3 linked regions of the Sus scrofa genome follow. The protein of the gene in region 1 interacts with the protein of each later gene in a pairwise test. Links are inferred from orthologs where the notes say so. Each region holds a gene or a part of one and is shown on either strand. Other genes may lie near its edges.

Region 1 (3,775 bases):
CTATCAAAGGGACAATGGAGCTTGGATCTAATACACCATCTTCATAATTTAGAAGAGATATCTAGAAAAATTATTTGAAGGATTTATAAGGAGAACGGGATAAGAATTCAAAAATAAAGAAAATGCTATCAAGTAATTCTATGAGTCAATCACACTGTTGAGTACTAATATATCAAATCAAGGGACTATTTTCTTAGCAATTTATGTCCTCACCTGAAAATTAATGACTGGCAATATAATCACTGGACTATGTCTATCATTAAAAATTAAACTGTGATTTCTCAAAAATATGTCATGAAAGTCTCGTTTTCAGTCTGTTAAAAGCAGCACCAAGAACCTTAGAGAATCGTAACAACACTAAGTCTTTACCAGCATGCCATTTATCCATCTTCTGGCTATGATAGAGTCCAGTCCACATACAATTATATGAAATTCTACAAGAAAAAAACACAAATTTAGTTTTTTAAAGTATCACAGCACAAAATAATTCAATTTCTAAGAAACAAACAAACCCATTTTTCACTGTAATACACACACAGCTTCTAATCCTTGAGTAATCTTTACTCAAGACAGAATACAAATATGTGGCTAACAATGCCAACTAGAAATTCAAACAGTGGCATTCCCTTTCCGATCAATTGACAACCTCCTGAAAAGTCAACACCAAGAAATGAAGGCAAAGAAAGAAACAGCCTTCAAAAAGCTACCAATCTTCAGGAGTTCCCATTGTGGCTCAGCAATAACGAACCCGACTAGTACCCATGAGGATGTGGGCTTGATCCCTGGCCTCGCTCAGTGGGTTAAGGATCCAACATTGCCATGAGCTGCTGTGTAGGCTGCAGAAGTGGCTTGGATCTGGCATGGCTGTGGCTGTGGTTTAGGCAGGCAGCTGCAGCTCCAATCTGACCTCTAGCCTGGGAACTTCCATATGCCACGGGTGTGGCCCTAAAAAAGACAAAAAAAGAAAAAAAAAGCTACCAATCTTCAAATAAACAGCAACTAAAAACAGTAAGAATTTAGGGAGAATTTAACTTCAAGTGGAAAACTTACGTCGATAGAAAGTGTCGTTAAAATCCTGAATCTTGTTGAAATGTCTGAATACAAGTAAAGGAACTTAGGCTGAGTTTTTATCTTATAAAGTGAATTTGACAATGCCATAAGGATCACATTATAAATGTATATTTAAAACAAGACATAAGTCATCAATGTTCAAAGCAATGGAATTCAAGGAATCTGACAAAAAGAACACAACCCTAGCTCTCAGAAAAGCTTTTTCCTAAACACTCTTCCCCTAACTACTTAGCTTCTCTCATCTCCAAATCCCCATCATTATAATTCTGTCTCTGCTATACTTTCTATTCTGCTTCAGTTTTTATATAAAACTGTAAGCCCCAGGAAAGCAGAATGCACATCTTCAACCACCAGGACCAAGCTAAGCAGCAATTAACATTTGTTTAGTAAAGGAAACAGACATTGTATTTCCCATTTTAGAAAGGTGATTTTAGGAGTCAATATACTACACAAAATAACAAATTGCACACCTTAAAATTATACAATGTTATATGTCAGATAAGATCAAGTAGAAAAAAAAAGTTACCACAAAGCTAATTTTAAAAAAACAGAGGAGTTCCTGTTGTGGTGGTAACGAGTGGTAACGAACCCGACTAGAATTCATGAGGACATGTGTGTGTTCGATCCCTGGCCCTGCTCAGTGGGTTAAGGATCCAGCATTGCCATGAGCTTCAGTGTAATTTGCAGATGTGGCTCGGATCTGGCATTGCCACGCTGTGGTATAAGCCAGCAGCTGCAACTCTGATTAGACCCCTAGTCTGAGAACATTCATATGCCACAGGTACAGACCTTAAAGTGAAAATATAAAAATTTTTTAAATAAACATAATTTTTAAAAATAGATGTTTTAAAAGCTTTTTCAAGTACTTACTGGTCATTGGGTTTTGTTTTGTTTTGTTTGGGGGTGGTCAATGAATTCTTTCTCCCTCTCTTGTTTAACTCAGTATTCCAAATCTCTCTCTCCTTACCCAGCCCACACCCTATCAGCAGTCTTCCCCAGTCTGGAGGGTGCCAAGGGAACCCCATCCAAATTGGTGGGGAATGTGAATCACAGTACGTAGCATTTGAACAGAATATCTACAACAAATTTTTTTTTTTTTTTCTGTTAGGAGCAACAAGGACAATATACGTTTGCTCTAGATTTTTTTATTCTAGCCTAAAAATAAAGTTATGAAAATTCTAGTTCTCACCCACTCAGACCTCTATTCCTCTGGAATGCCAGACAAACAAGAGACAAAAACTACAGCTAGAAAAGGGAGGTCAACGATGGAGAACAGTATAGAGGTACCTTAGAAATCTATACATAAAACTACCATATAACCCACTATTATTGCTATCCCACTCTTGGGCATATATCTGGACAAACCTTGCCTTAAAAAAGACACAGGCACCCACATGTTCATTGCAGCACTATTCACAATAGCCAAGACATGGAAACAACCCAAATGTCCATCAACAGATGATTGGATTAGGAAATGTGGTATATATACACAATGGAATACTACTCAGCCATAAAAAAAATGACATAATGCCATTTGCAGCATCATGGATGGAACTAGAGACTCTCATACTGAGTGAAGGAAATTCGAAAGATAAAGACAAATACCATATATCACTTATATCTAGAATCTAATACATGGCAAAAATGAACCTTTCCACAGAAAAGAAAATCATGGACTTGGAGAACATACTTGTGGTTGCCAAGGGGGAGTGGGAGGGAGTGGGGTGGATGGGGAGCTTGGGGTTAATAGATGCAAACTATTGCCTTTGGAATGGATTAGCAATGAGATCCTGCTGTGTAGTGCTGAGAACTATTTATAGTCACTTATGATGGAGCATGATAATCTGAGAAAATAGAATGTGTACATGTATGTGTAACTGGGTCACCATGCTGTTCAGTAGAAAAAAAAATGTATTGGGGAAATATCAATTAAAACATAAAATAAAATAAAATAAAATGTTAGGTAGGCTAGGAAAAAAAAAAGAAAGAAAGAAAAGGCAGGTCAAAAGAGAACCAGAGCAAACAATGAAGGAACAATAGGAGATAGAGGAGCAAGGCCAAGAAATCCCATCTCCTAGAGTTCTACAAAACACCCAAATTTTCACAGATCTAAATAATGGGGATGGACAAAGAATGTGAACACTTGGGAAAAAAAAAAAAAAAAAAAAAAACCCTCTGTTTCTCCCTATAGAGATCTGTATTCACATTATTGAACTTTTTTATTTTTATTAAGATAGTACAGAGGGGTCCCACATTTCCTTCACTCAAGTTTCCCCCCAATGGTTACATCATATACCTACAGCACAATATCAAACCCACAAACACAACATGGGTACAATGTGTGTAAGGTTGTCATTCAACCACATGTAAAACTGTGTGACCACAATAAAGATACACAACTATTCATCACCACAAAGATCTCCCTCCAGCTACCCCTTTTACAGTCACACCTATCCCCTCAACCATCCCTGATCCCTGGCAATCACTAATTTGTTCTCTATCTAGATAACTGTCATTTGAAGAAGGTTATATAAATGTAATCATACAATATATGACTTTTATAGACACTGGCATTTTTCATTCAGTATCATGTTCTTGATATCCATCCAAGTCATATTTCATTAATTGTACTTCATTCTTTTTTATTGCTCAGTATTATTACAAGGTGTGGCTGTTATCACAGTTTAACAATTCACCTAGTGAT
Region 2 (4,464 bases), on another chromosome or scaffold:
TGGGTCGCCCAACCAGGGGAGAGGACGCTGGGCTGGAAGCCAGGAGGCGCCTGGACTCTCTCACAGTCCCCAGAGCCTGTGGGACCTCAGGAAGTCATGAATCCCCTTGGGACTCCACATGCTCCTTCTGGATGTTGGGAAGGGGGCGGTGATCACTGCCTTCTCCAGGTGCTGCCTGCCAAGACCCTAGGGTGACCCGGCCTCCTGGCTCCCAAGGAGCCCACCCTGTGCCCTGCAGGGGTCCGCACTCCAGAAGTGACCGTCCCTGCTGGGTGAGCGGAGGGAGACGAGGGAGAGCTCCATCAGGCAGATGGGACCCTGGCCCTGGCTGAGGGCTTCTCAGTAGGGGACTTGGCCTGGAGACCATGCCCCAGAGGGAATTTGTAGAGAATGGCTCCTCTGTTGTCCATCGTCCTCAGAGCCCCACGAGGGGCAACAGGAACACCCCGGTGGATCCACCATCGACCTTCAGCCTAGTGGCACCTTGCTCGTCAGGGTCCTGTCCCTGCGACAACCCAGAAATCTGACCTGTGGATTCCGAGGCTCCCCTCTCCAGGAAGGAGGCGGGAGAGAGAGGAGTGAGCTGGCCTGAGAAAAATCCCAAAAGGAATCCTAAATCAGTAACCCACTTCGGGCTTCCTAATATTCCCATAAATAATGCTAAGCGGTTAATGCTGAGTGCTTCTCACACACCAGTCACAGGGCAGGCCCACGAGCCCGTGTCATGTAATTTAACCCTCACAACTACCTTTAAGGAAAGACACAGCTACCCTAAAAGATCACAAGGGGGTAGAGTATTGTTCTCACTACTTTCCAGGTACGGCAACAAAGGCTCTATCCCTGACCCTCTCTTTACGCCTGAGGTTTTTTTTTGGTTTGTTTTTTTATGGCTGCACCTGAAGTATATGGAAGTTCCTGGGGCCAGTGACAGAATCCGAGCTGCAGCTGTGACCTACCCTGCAGCTGTGGCAATGCCAGATCTTTAACCCCCTGCGCTGGGCCGGGGATTGAACCCATACCTCTGCAGCAACCTGAGCTGCTGCAACTGGATTCTTAACCCACTGCACCACAGCTACTCTGCCCCTGAATTTTTAATAAGAATGGCCTCTGGGAGGGCGATCCCTTGACCACCCGTGCACCTAACTTTGCAGGACACCTGTCCCCTGTACCGGTTCTAGCCCCCTAGCAGCTCTGTAAACGCGATTGTGTCATACTTTGCTTCATTTTACCAGTGGAAAAGCCCTCAAGCCCTACGACTGACGAGGCAGGCAAATAGGATGTGGCAGCAGACCAGGAGGGCCCAAGTGTCCACGTTCTTAGTCCCTGGTTCTTTCCATGGAGACAACTACCCGGGTGACCCCTCCCACTCTGGCCAGCTTTGTCACATGCCTGGGGCAGTCCCAGGACTCACTGGGCCCCCTGCCAGAAAGAATGCAATAAAACCACTCCTTTATGTTGGCACCGGCCTCTGCATGCACAGGCCCTGGACTGTTAGCCCATTTTACAGACAAGGACCTGGAGGCTCAGGGAGGAGGAGGGTCTGGGCCTGGGTAGGAGGTGTTTGAACCCAGGTGTCCCACATCTCCCCATCAGGGCTGACCACAAGCAGGCTGCAGCTGCTGGAAGGTTACAACCTGGTTCCTCTCTCCAATTACTGAAGCTGTGGGTGCCCCCATGAAACAGAAAAAGCCCTACCTCCCTCAGTTAACAGTCCACAGTCCTAGGGAAGCAAAAACTAAAGGCGGACAAAGGGCCACTTGGATATTTCTCCCAGATCCTTTGCCCTTGTCACTTCCTCCAGTACATAACAGGGCTGGCGGGGTCGCAGACAGCAAGAACCTCTAACTGGCTACCAAAGCTCCGGGTTCCAGTTCCACCTGTGACCTTGGGCAAATCACAGCCCCCTGTGAAGGAGCCCCTTCCCCAAAGGGGGTGGTTCGACAAGGCTGGGGGATGGGATGCGAAGAGGAAAGTAAGAATCTTCTATTTACAGAGAAGCAGCGCTTCGGGGGAACAGGGACTGGGAAGGAAGAAAGGGCTCTGCTCTTTCTCCACGTTCCCCCCTCCCCCGCCCCAAACACACAGGTGCCAGACAGTTTTTGCAGGGAAAAAAACTAGTTTGCAAACACACTCCGACTTCTGGGAAGCTGCCCAGCTCCACTTCCTCTCCTATTCCCCCTTCGCGAGCTGGGAGCGGGCTCTGGAGCAGTTCCCTGCGGCACCGGGGATGCCCGGGTAGGGAGCGAGGCGAGAGGGCGAGAAGCGGGGCCAGCCCGACCTCAGGACTTCCGAAGCTGCGAAGGTGGCGGGCCTCCACCTTCCTGACGCCCCCAGTTCCTCGGGGGAGGTAGGAGGGTCCCTAAACCATTGGGCTCGGAGCCCCCCCACCCCCGCGCCTCGCCCCCGAGGGCGCCACCATCCTCCAGGCACTATGCCCTCGGTTACCCCACGGTCGGGGCGAAGCCGGAGCGCCCCCGCGTGGCCGGGTCGCAGCTGAGTCATCCAAACGCTGGGGTCGGGGCGCGCGGATGGCTGGGGGCTTTGGGCTGTGCCACCCGGGAGGCGGCACCTAACTTCCTTCCAAGCAGCCGCTGGCGCCAGAAGCCGAGCCCCAAGGCCGAACTTGAGCCCTCGCGCCAGGGCGCCCCGCCCGCCCCTTGCCCGCCGGGGCCCCACTCACCGCGGGTTCCGCGGGCGCTGCCGCCCTCACCGCGTGGCTGCCGCTCCCCGTGCTCCGGGCCACCAGGGCATCCTCGGGTGCTCCCCTGCTCCGCCGGGCCCACGGGCGCGGGACGGGCTCAAGGCGCTGCCCGCGCAGCGGTGGCCAGCTCGCGTGCGCTCCCAGCCGCTCGCGGTCCGGTCCTCCTCCCCGGCCCGCCGGGCGGGCGGCGGCGGCAGCTCGGGCTCCTCCCTCGGCCGAGGGAGGGGGGGGCGTGGGGAGGGAAGTGGGAGGCGGGGCGGGCGCTTCCTGGAGGGGCGAGCTCTCCCACGGGCGGAGCGGGGGCGCTGTCCCGCCCGCCGCCCGCGGCTTGGAGCCCGCCGCTGGCGCGCCTCGGGACTCTGAGCGATCAGAGCCTCGGGGCCCCGAGTATTCGAGGCTGGAATCCGAGGGTCCGAACGTTCCAGGCTAGGACTTCGCGGATCGGTACGCCGCTAGTTCTCACTCTTCCCAGGCTGGCCTCGCCCGAGCCGCCGGCGCCTCCGAGTAGCCTGCACCCGGCTCTCAGGGCCGCCGACGCGGGATGCGAGGGGTGGGCTCAGCCCCGGCCTGCGGGGCCCTAGGACGCCGCCTGCAGCCCCGACTCCAAGGGCTGTCGGGCTCGATGCTGCGCCCTCGAGGGTCTGGTTCTGGGCTATACTGGCAGCACTAGGACCGCTGTTTGCTCCCTCCCCCTCTCCCCCCAGTAGTAAAAGAGGTCGGCGTTTTCTTATTGCCGCTGCGACTGGGAAGATGACACATACGTATTTCTGGGACAGAGCTGATAAGACAGTTCGAACAGTGCCTATAGCGGAGGGCAATTAGGCGGGCCCTTTGTGACCCTGGCGCCGAGTCCGCCCTTCTGCGGCGGCCTTCTTTGCCCTAGACAAGGGAGCAATTCTTCAGAAATTCGCCTGTCGCTGGGCTCCCGTGCTGCAGGCCACTCCGTTTTTATATGCCCGCTCCCTCAGTCCCTCTACCCAATCCAGTGCCTCAGACAGCGGAGCCTCATTTAACCAGATTGTGGGGGACAGAGCTGTCTCTGAGATCTCAGGGCCACGTCCAAAGCCCTTGGCTCCCGGACTGGGCAGCTGGGCATTAACGCGCAGTGCTTGGGTTGTGGGATTTCCGTCAGGCAGGTGAGGGTTAACTGGGAGGCTCACAGCTGCAGCCAGTGAACCTCCCTCCAAGTCTGAGTCACAGGCACTTTGCAGCCTTAGAGGGCGGCTGTTAAACAGCCCCAGGGCTCTGAGCTTTGTTCTCTGCCTGCCTGCCCCCACCTCCCATCCATCCCTCTTTTCTCCAAGCTCTCCCAATCTTTCCTCCACATCAAGTCCTCAGAGCCCTCAGCCCAGCTGTGAGGCCAACCCATCCAGAGGTGTTCTGAGACCCAGCTGCAGCCCCTCTTCCTCCAGGAAGCCTTTCCTGATTGATATGGCCCCCAGAATCCTTCTCCTCTCCTTGCTCCAGAGCAGAAGAGCCAGGCACTGGGACGGACAGTGGTGAACCTAAGCAGAAAGTCCCTCCCCTCAAGTTGCTCACCTCACAGGGCTAAAACCACCACCCCTGCAATCGTAATACAGTATGAAAGGTGCAAAAACTCGAGGCAAGGTGAATCAGAAGACCTGAATCAGCTATGGGAGTCAGCAAGGCTTCCTCTAGAAGAAGGATAAGGTAGTTGGGCCTGCTGTGGGGGGCGGGGGGGAAAGACACCATATCCTTGGCCAAGGGGATGGAGTACAATGGCCAGGGGTCATGGCAATTCC
Region 3 (4,527 bases), on another chromosome or scaffold:
CGGGCAACCCCCAGTGCATCGCCTTTACAGCACACCAGAAAATTCTTCCCCACCTTACAAGTAATATACAGAACAAAACCGACGAGATTCTAAAATCGATGGTGATCTGAAAATTTACATGATCCTATCAACAACAAGTTTGAAAGCCTAAACTTTTTAAAGCTATCAGTAATTAATTTCAATTAGCCATGCTACAGGAAAGCCTGAATTTATCTTTCTAGTCTCTGTAGAAAGTATGACAAAATCATTATCATTCAAAGATGCAAAGGCTATGAAGACAAAAAATGTGGAAAAAGTATTACAGAAGATTGAGAAGCAGTTAAAAATTATTTTTATGTATTTTTTTATAGTTGTTGGCATCTTAAAATGTATACTGTTGTGATCTTTCTTATCCTGAATAAACCATTTTTACCTCTAATTTTGAATTTGTAATTTTGTATTTTTTTCTTAAAAAGGGCCCCTAAATTGTCTAAACTTCAGGCTCAACAAGGCCTGGATCATACGCAGGGCAACTTAAACAGCATAATTTGCTAAGATAGTTTGTTCACCCATCACATAAAGATGATAAATACCCATTTTGATGAATATTGCTCTTTGTATTTGTGGTGGTGATGGGGTGGGGCTGGCTCAAGAGCCAGGGAAGGGCTACTGAAGTGGTGGGTTGCTGGGACTGGAAGTGATGCCTCCCAGAGGCACCACAGAAATGGGTGATGGAGGCCTTCCTGGAGAGGGCGGCACTTGGGGCAGGGAGGCCTCTCAGGATGGGGCAGCTGGGAGGTGACAGCAAATCATCTAGGGCCACCCTTAACAGAACCAGAGTCTGAAAGTCAGAGGGCCCTCCCTCTGCTCCCTGTACCTCTGAGTGTGCAGAACCCAGACTCTGGAGCAGCTGAGAGCAGCAAACAATAAAACAGCAGAAACCAGGGGTGGGCGTGTCTGGCCACAAGGCTATGGCACCTGCATCCACCCCCTCGCCCCCCTCCCCCGGGCTGAGGGAGGCACCAAAGGATCAGCCCCTTGGCTCCCTCCAGGCCAGGTCTTGTCCAATCAGCACCCTATTACTGCCAGAACATGGTGAAGACAATCTGTCCCTCTTTACACAGGTTAGGATGACCTGTGGCTTCTGTTTGTCTCAGCCACTGACCATTTGGCCACTCTCCGGGCCACTGTGCAGCCAGCAGACAGGCAGCATCAGCATACTGCCCAAGAGGGAGCCCAGAGTCCTGGGCCCCCTGACCAGACTCCTGATGTCAGAATCCTTACTGTACCCTTCCCCTACTCTCAGAAACAGCCTTTTCTGTCCTCAGCAAGTTGCAAAAGCAGAAGCTATCTGAGTTAAAATTCCTAAGACCTTTAGAATGGTGCCCGCCACACTGCAAGGTCTATGTAAGCGTTGGGAAATTTGTATAAAAAATGTTTCAAAAACTCTCTGTTTCCTCAAGGATCTAAATTTGAAAAACCACAGAAACCCATAACTCACAAGGGTTTACACAGTGATGTCTGAATCCTAAACTGGCTTCTCAAAGACTGAAAGAAGAAAAGGCTTATGGTGGAACTTAAAAGTTACCAAATATCCTGATACGTTTACTCTGGAGAGGAAGTGGGGGGCTCAGGGAGGGGAAGCAAGTATGCTCTGCGGCCAGTGGCGCTGCTTTCCAGGAAGAACGCTTGTCCTGCAGTTACAAGCTTCATCCAAGTAGCAGGTAAGGTTGAGGTCCTCCTTTTCCCAAGGATCAAGCCTCCCAGCGCCCCTTTAAGGAGTGTTTTCCTTCTGGGCTGAGGCGGTGGGGGGGGGGGGCTCCCACACAGAAGATGTCCACTAGGGTTGAAGGTTAACGTTTAGGGGATTAGAGGAGTCACTCCAAGAACCACACCATCACTGCACACGTGAGGGCTCACTTCAAACGCAGGACGGGTGACAACCTGTTTTCAACCTGTGCAGAACTTTCAGACTGAAAAGAAATTACCATTTGGGAACAGTAAGTCCTTCTGCGGGCAGGGCTCCTCCTACTCCTGTCCACCCCCTCTTGGGATCGCCAGAACGAAGCCGTGCGCCTTTACGCGCGCGCGAGGCGGGAGGAGGACGTTTCTCCGCCCGGCCTCCCCCCGCCCCACCCCGCGCGGGACAGTCCCGGAGAGCCCAAACCCCTATTCGCCGCCGCACGTGGCCTAAGGACCCCTCAGGTGTCGGGCACCAGGGAAATGAGGGAACAGAACACACACTAAAGTGAGAGGAGAGGGGTTGCTCTACGAAGGTTTCTTCAGCTCCGCTGCTCGACCTTCACCCTTCCGGTGTGGGTAGCAGTTCCTCCAAATACCGAGAGGAACCCTCTAGACTCCGGATGCGCGAGGAGAGGCCGTCCGCTCGACCTCCACACGGCGGAGTTCTAACCTAGGGCAACCGCACCACGTTCTGCCCAATGGATCAATTCCAAGGCAGTTCCAGCGCCCTGACCCTCCCCGGCAGTTCTGCGCGCAGATCCCGGCCCGCGTCTCCGACCCGCGGGACCCAGGGAGCCCGTGCAGGGGCGGCAGGTGCACAGGTGTAAGGAAGAGGTGCAGAGCCCCTCTGCGGTTGGCAGTCCCGGTCGCCTGGCCCAGCGTGGCCGGACCCGCCGGCCCGCGGGGTCTCAGAACCACCGCCCACACCCCGCGCCCACTCTGCCCCAAGTCCGAGCGCGCCCGCCGTGCGCTCCGGGCCGCGCTCACCTGTCCTGCCCGCAGCGCGAGCTGCACCGCCGCTTCGAAGCACTCCTCCCACGGGCCCCCGGCCCTCGCCGCCCTATCCTCGCCGCTTGGCTTCATAGCGGCCTCTGGGCCCGCCGGCGCCCCCCGCCCGGACGCCAGGCTGCGCGATCGCCTCGCACCTCCTGCTGCTCAGCGGCTGGGCCGCGCCTGCCCGCAGCCTTGCGGGCCCGTTGTGGGGGGCGGGGCACAGGCGGGAACCCGACCTGGAGCTGCGCCCAGCGGGTAGCGACGCCCAGCCCCGCCCCTCACCCCGCCTCCGCCGAGCCCGGCCCCGCCCCGCGCCGCTGGTGCCCCGCTCCTTTCCGCCTGCGTCGCTCTCCCTGCCCTGCCAGCGATGAGCCCCGCCCCAACAACCCCAGGCCCCGCCCCGACTGCTCCAGGAACCCTGGAGGGCGCTCGGTCCCTCCTGCGGAAAGCCGCGGGCTTGCGTGGCGGAAGAAGGGCGGGGCTAGGAGCCGCAGCAGCGCCCCGGGCCCGCGCTCCCCGCGGAGAGTATGGATGAGCCAGGAATGTTCCCTAAGCAGACCCCCGGAACAGCTGCTGCTCTCGTGCTCCCGCGTGGGCAGGAACCGACTGCTGCAGGCGCTAGTGCCAGACCCAGAGCTTGCGCTCAGGAGCTGCCTGGCACCCTCTAACCTGTGCTGACCACGTGGAGCCGGCCTGCGGTCCGAGACCGCGAGGACCCCGCGGGGGTCGCTCCTTACACCGTCAGCTTTCGTCTGTGACCACCGAGCGCCGGAGCAACTTGTAGAGGCAAACAGACAACACGGAGGCTTTAAGCGGAGCTGTAGGGCTTCGTCCTTGGGTCGCCTCACCTTGCAAGTGGGAAACCTGGATGGAGAATTGCCCCTACGGTGGGTTTGCGGCGGCTGAGGGCAGGCTCCGCTCCATCTTTCTTGTTCATATTTTCCATGATTGTCCCAAGAGGGAGTTGGTTTCTGAAAATCCTTAAGACTGTGCCCTGGATGCCTCACTTCAAATGTATTCAGAGTTGATCTTTGCAGCAGGTTTTCATTAGCGATCACTCCCAGCAACAAGCAAAATAACGTTAAGACGCTGAATTAAGGCAGACAAGCGATTGCTAACAAATGCTGTACATTTATCACCCAGCATTGTGCAGGTCCCACAACAAAGAACATCCCCGGACACCCCTTAAAGCTCTGTTCTGGCAGAATCATCTGCAGGAAACATTCTCTGCAGGATTATTTCTCCTTCTCTTTGGTTTCCACCATAAAATGTGCTTTTTCCTGCTGGTCCCATTGAGAAAGAGGGTAACATGTGAGGTCCTTTGGCTCCCCTGGGTGTGCCACTCTCCAAGCTCTGCCTGGCTTTTCTGGGGAGACTCCTTTGTCCTGTGCCATGTCCCCAGCTCACTCTTTAGTGCTACTCTATGCCTGTGGATCCTATACTTTAGACCCTGGAGACAAACTGTACTTCAGTAACCAGCCACCTTCATTCTGTTACAGTCCTACCTGCAAGGCACAGTCTGTAAACTAAATGAACACTATTTCCAATTCCGTGCTCCTGAAACTCCCCAGGGTGACCTTCCTGAGATGAACTCCTGGCCCGCCTTCACCTGACTCTAGGTCAGCTCTGCACCCCATCTCCAATAGTCCACTCCCGGCCTGGACTGTTCACACTTCCTTCTCCCCTCCAGAGACGCCAGGAGCAGCTTCTGGCCTCAGACAGCACTCCAGGCGGCTGCCGCTGGGACCTCTGGGCACACTTCACCTTGTCTTCATGTGCACATCTGTAAAGTGGACATTCCACCTTCATCAA

Evidence for each region. The genes of interacting proteins can lie anywhere in the genome.
Region 2: the proteins of UBA3 (region 1) and CPNE2 interact in binary tests that used the Homo sapiens proteins (3 or more experiments, as listed by UniProt). The two-hybrid records come from large-scale screens. The link is inferred for Sus scrofa from reciprocal best matches to the Homo sapiens genes UBA3 and CPNE2.
Region 3: the proteins of UBA3 (region 1) and IMPA2 interact in binary tests that used the Homo sapiens proteins (3 or more experiments, as listed by UniProt). The two-hybrid records come from large-scale screens. The link is inferred for Sus scrofa from reciprocal best matches to the Homo sapiens genes UBA3 and IMPA2.

Annotation. Positions count from the first base shown.
Region 1 is NC_010455.5:50,487,638-50,491,412, forward strand, and holds part of UBA3 (NEDD8-activating enzyme E1 catalytic subunit), read right to left. Parts: intron 1,095-3,775; coding exon 1,051-1,094; intron 435-1,050; coding exon 370-434; intron 62-369; coding exon 1-61. UniProt on the Homo sapiens protein: Catalytic subunit of the dimeric UBA3-NAE1 E1 enzyme. E1 activates NEDD8 by first adenylating its C-terminal glycine residue with ATP, thereafter linking this residue to the side chain of the catalytic cysteine, yielding a NEDD8-UBA3 thioester and free AMP.
Region 2 is NC_010448.4:19,045,242-19,049,705, reverse strand, and holds the start of CPNE2 (copine-2), read right to left. Parts: upstream 2,912-4,464; 5' UTR 2,681-2,911; intron 1-2,680.
Region 3 is NC_010448.4:97,306,819-97,311,345, forward strand, and holds the start of IMPA2 (inositol monophosphatase 2), read right to left. Parts: upstream 2,912-4,527; 5' UTR 2,806-2,911; coding exon 2,710-2,805; intron 1-2,709. UniProt on the Homo sapiens protein: Phosphatase that can use myo-inositol monophosphates, myo-inositol 1,4-diphosphate, scyllo-inositol-1,4-diphosphate, glucose-1-phosphate, beta-glycerophosphate and 2'-AMP as substrates in vitro.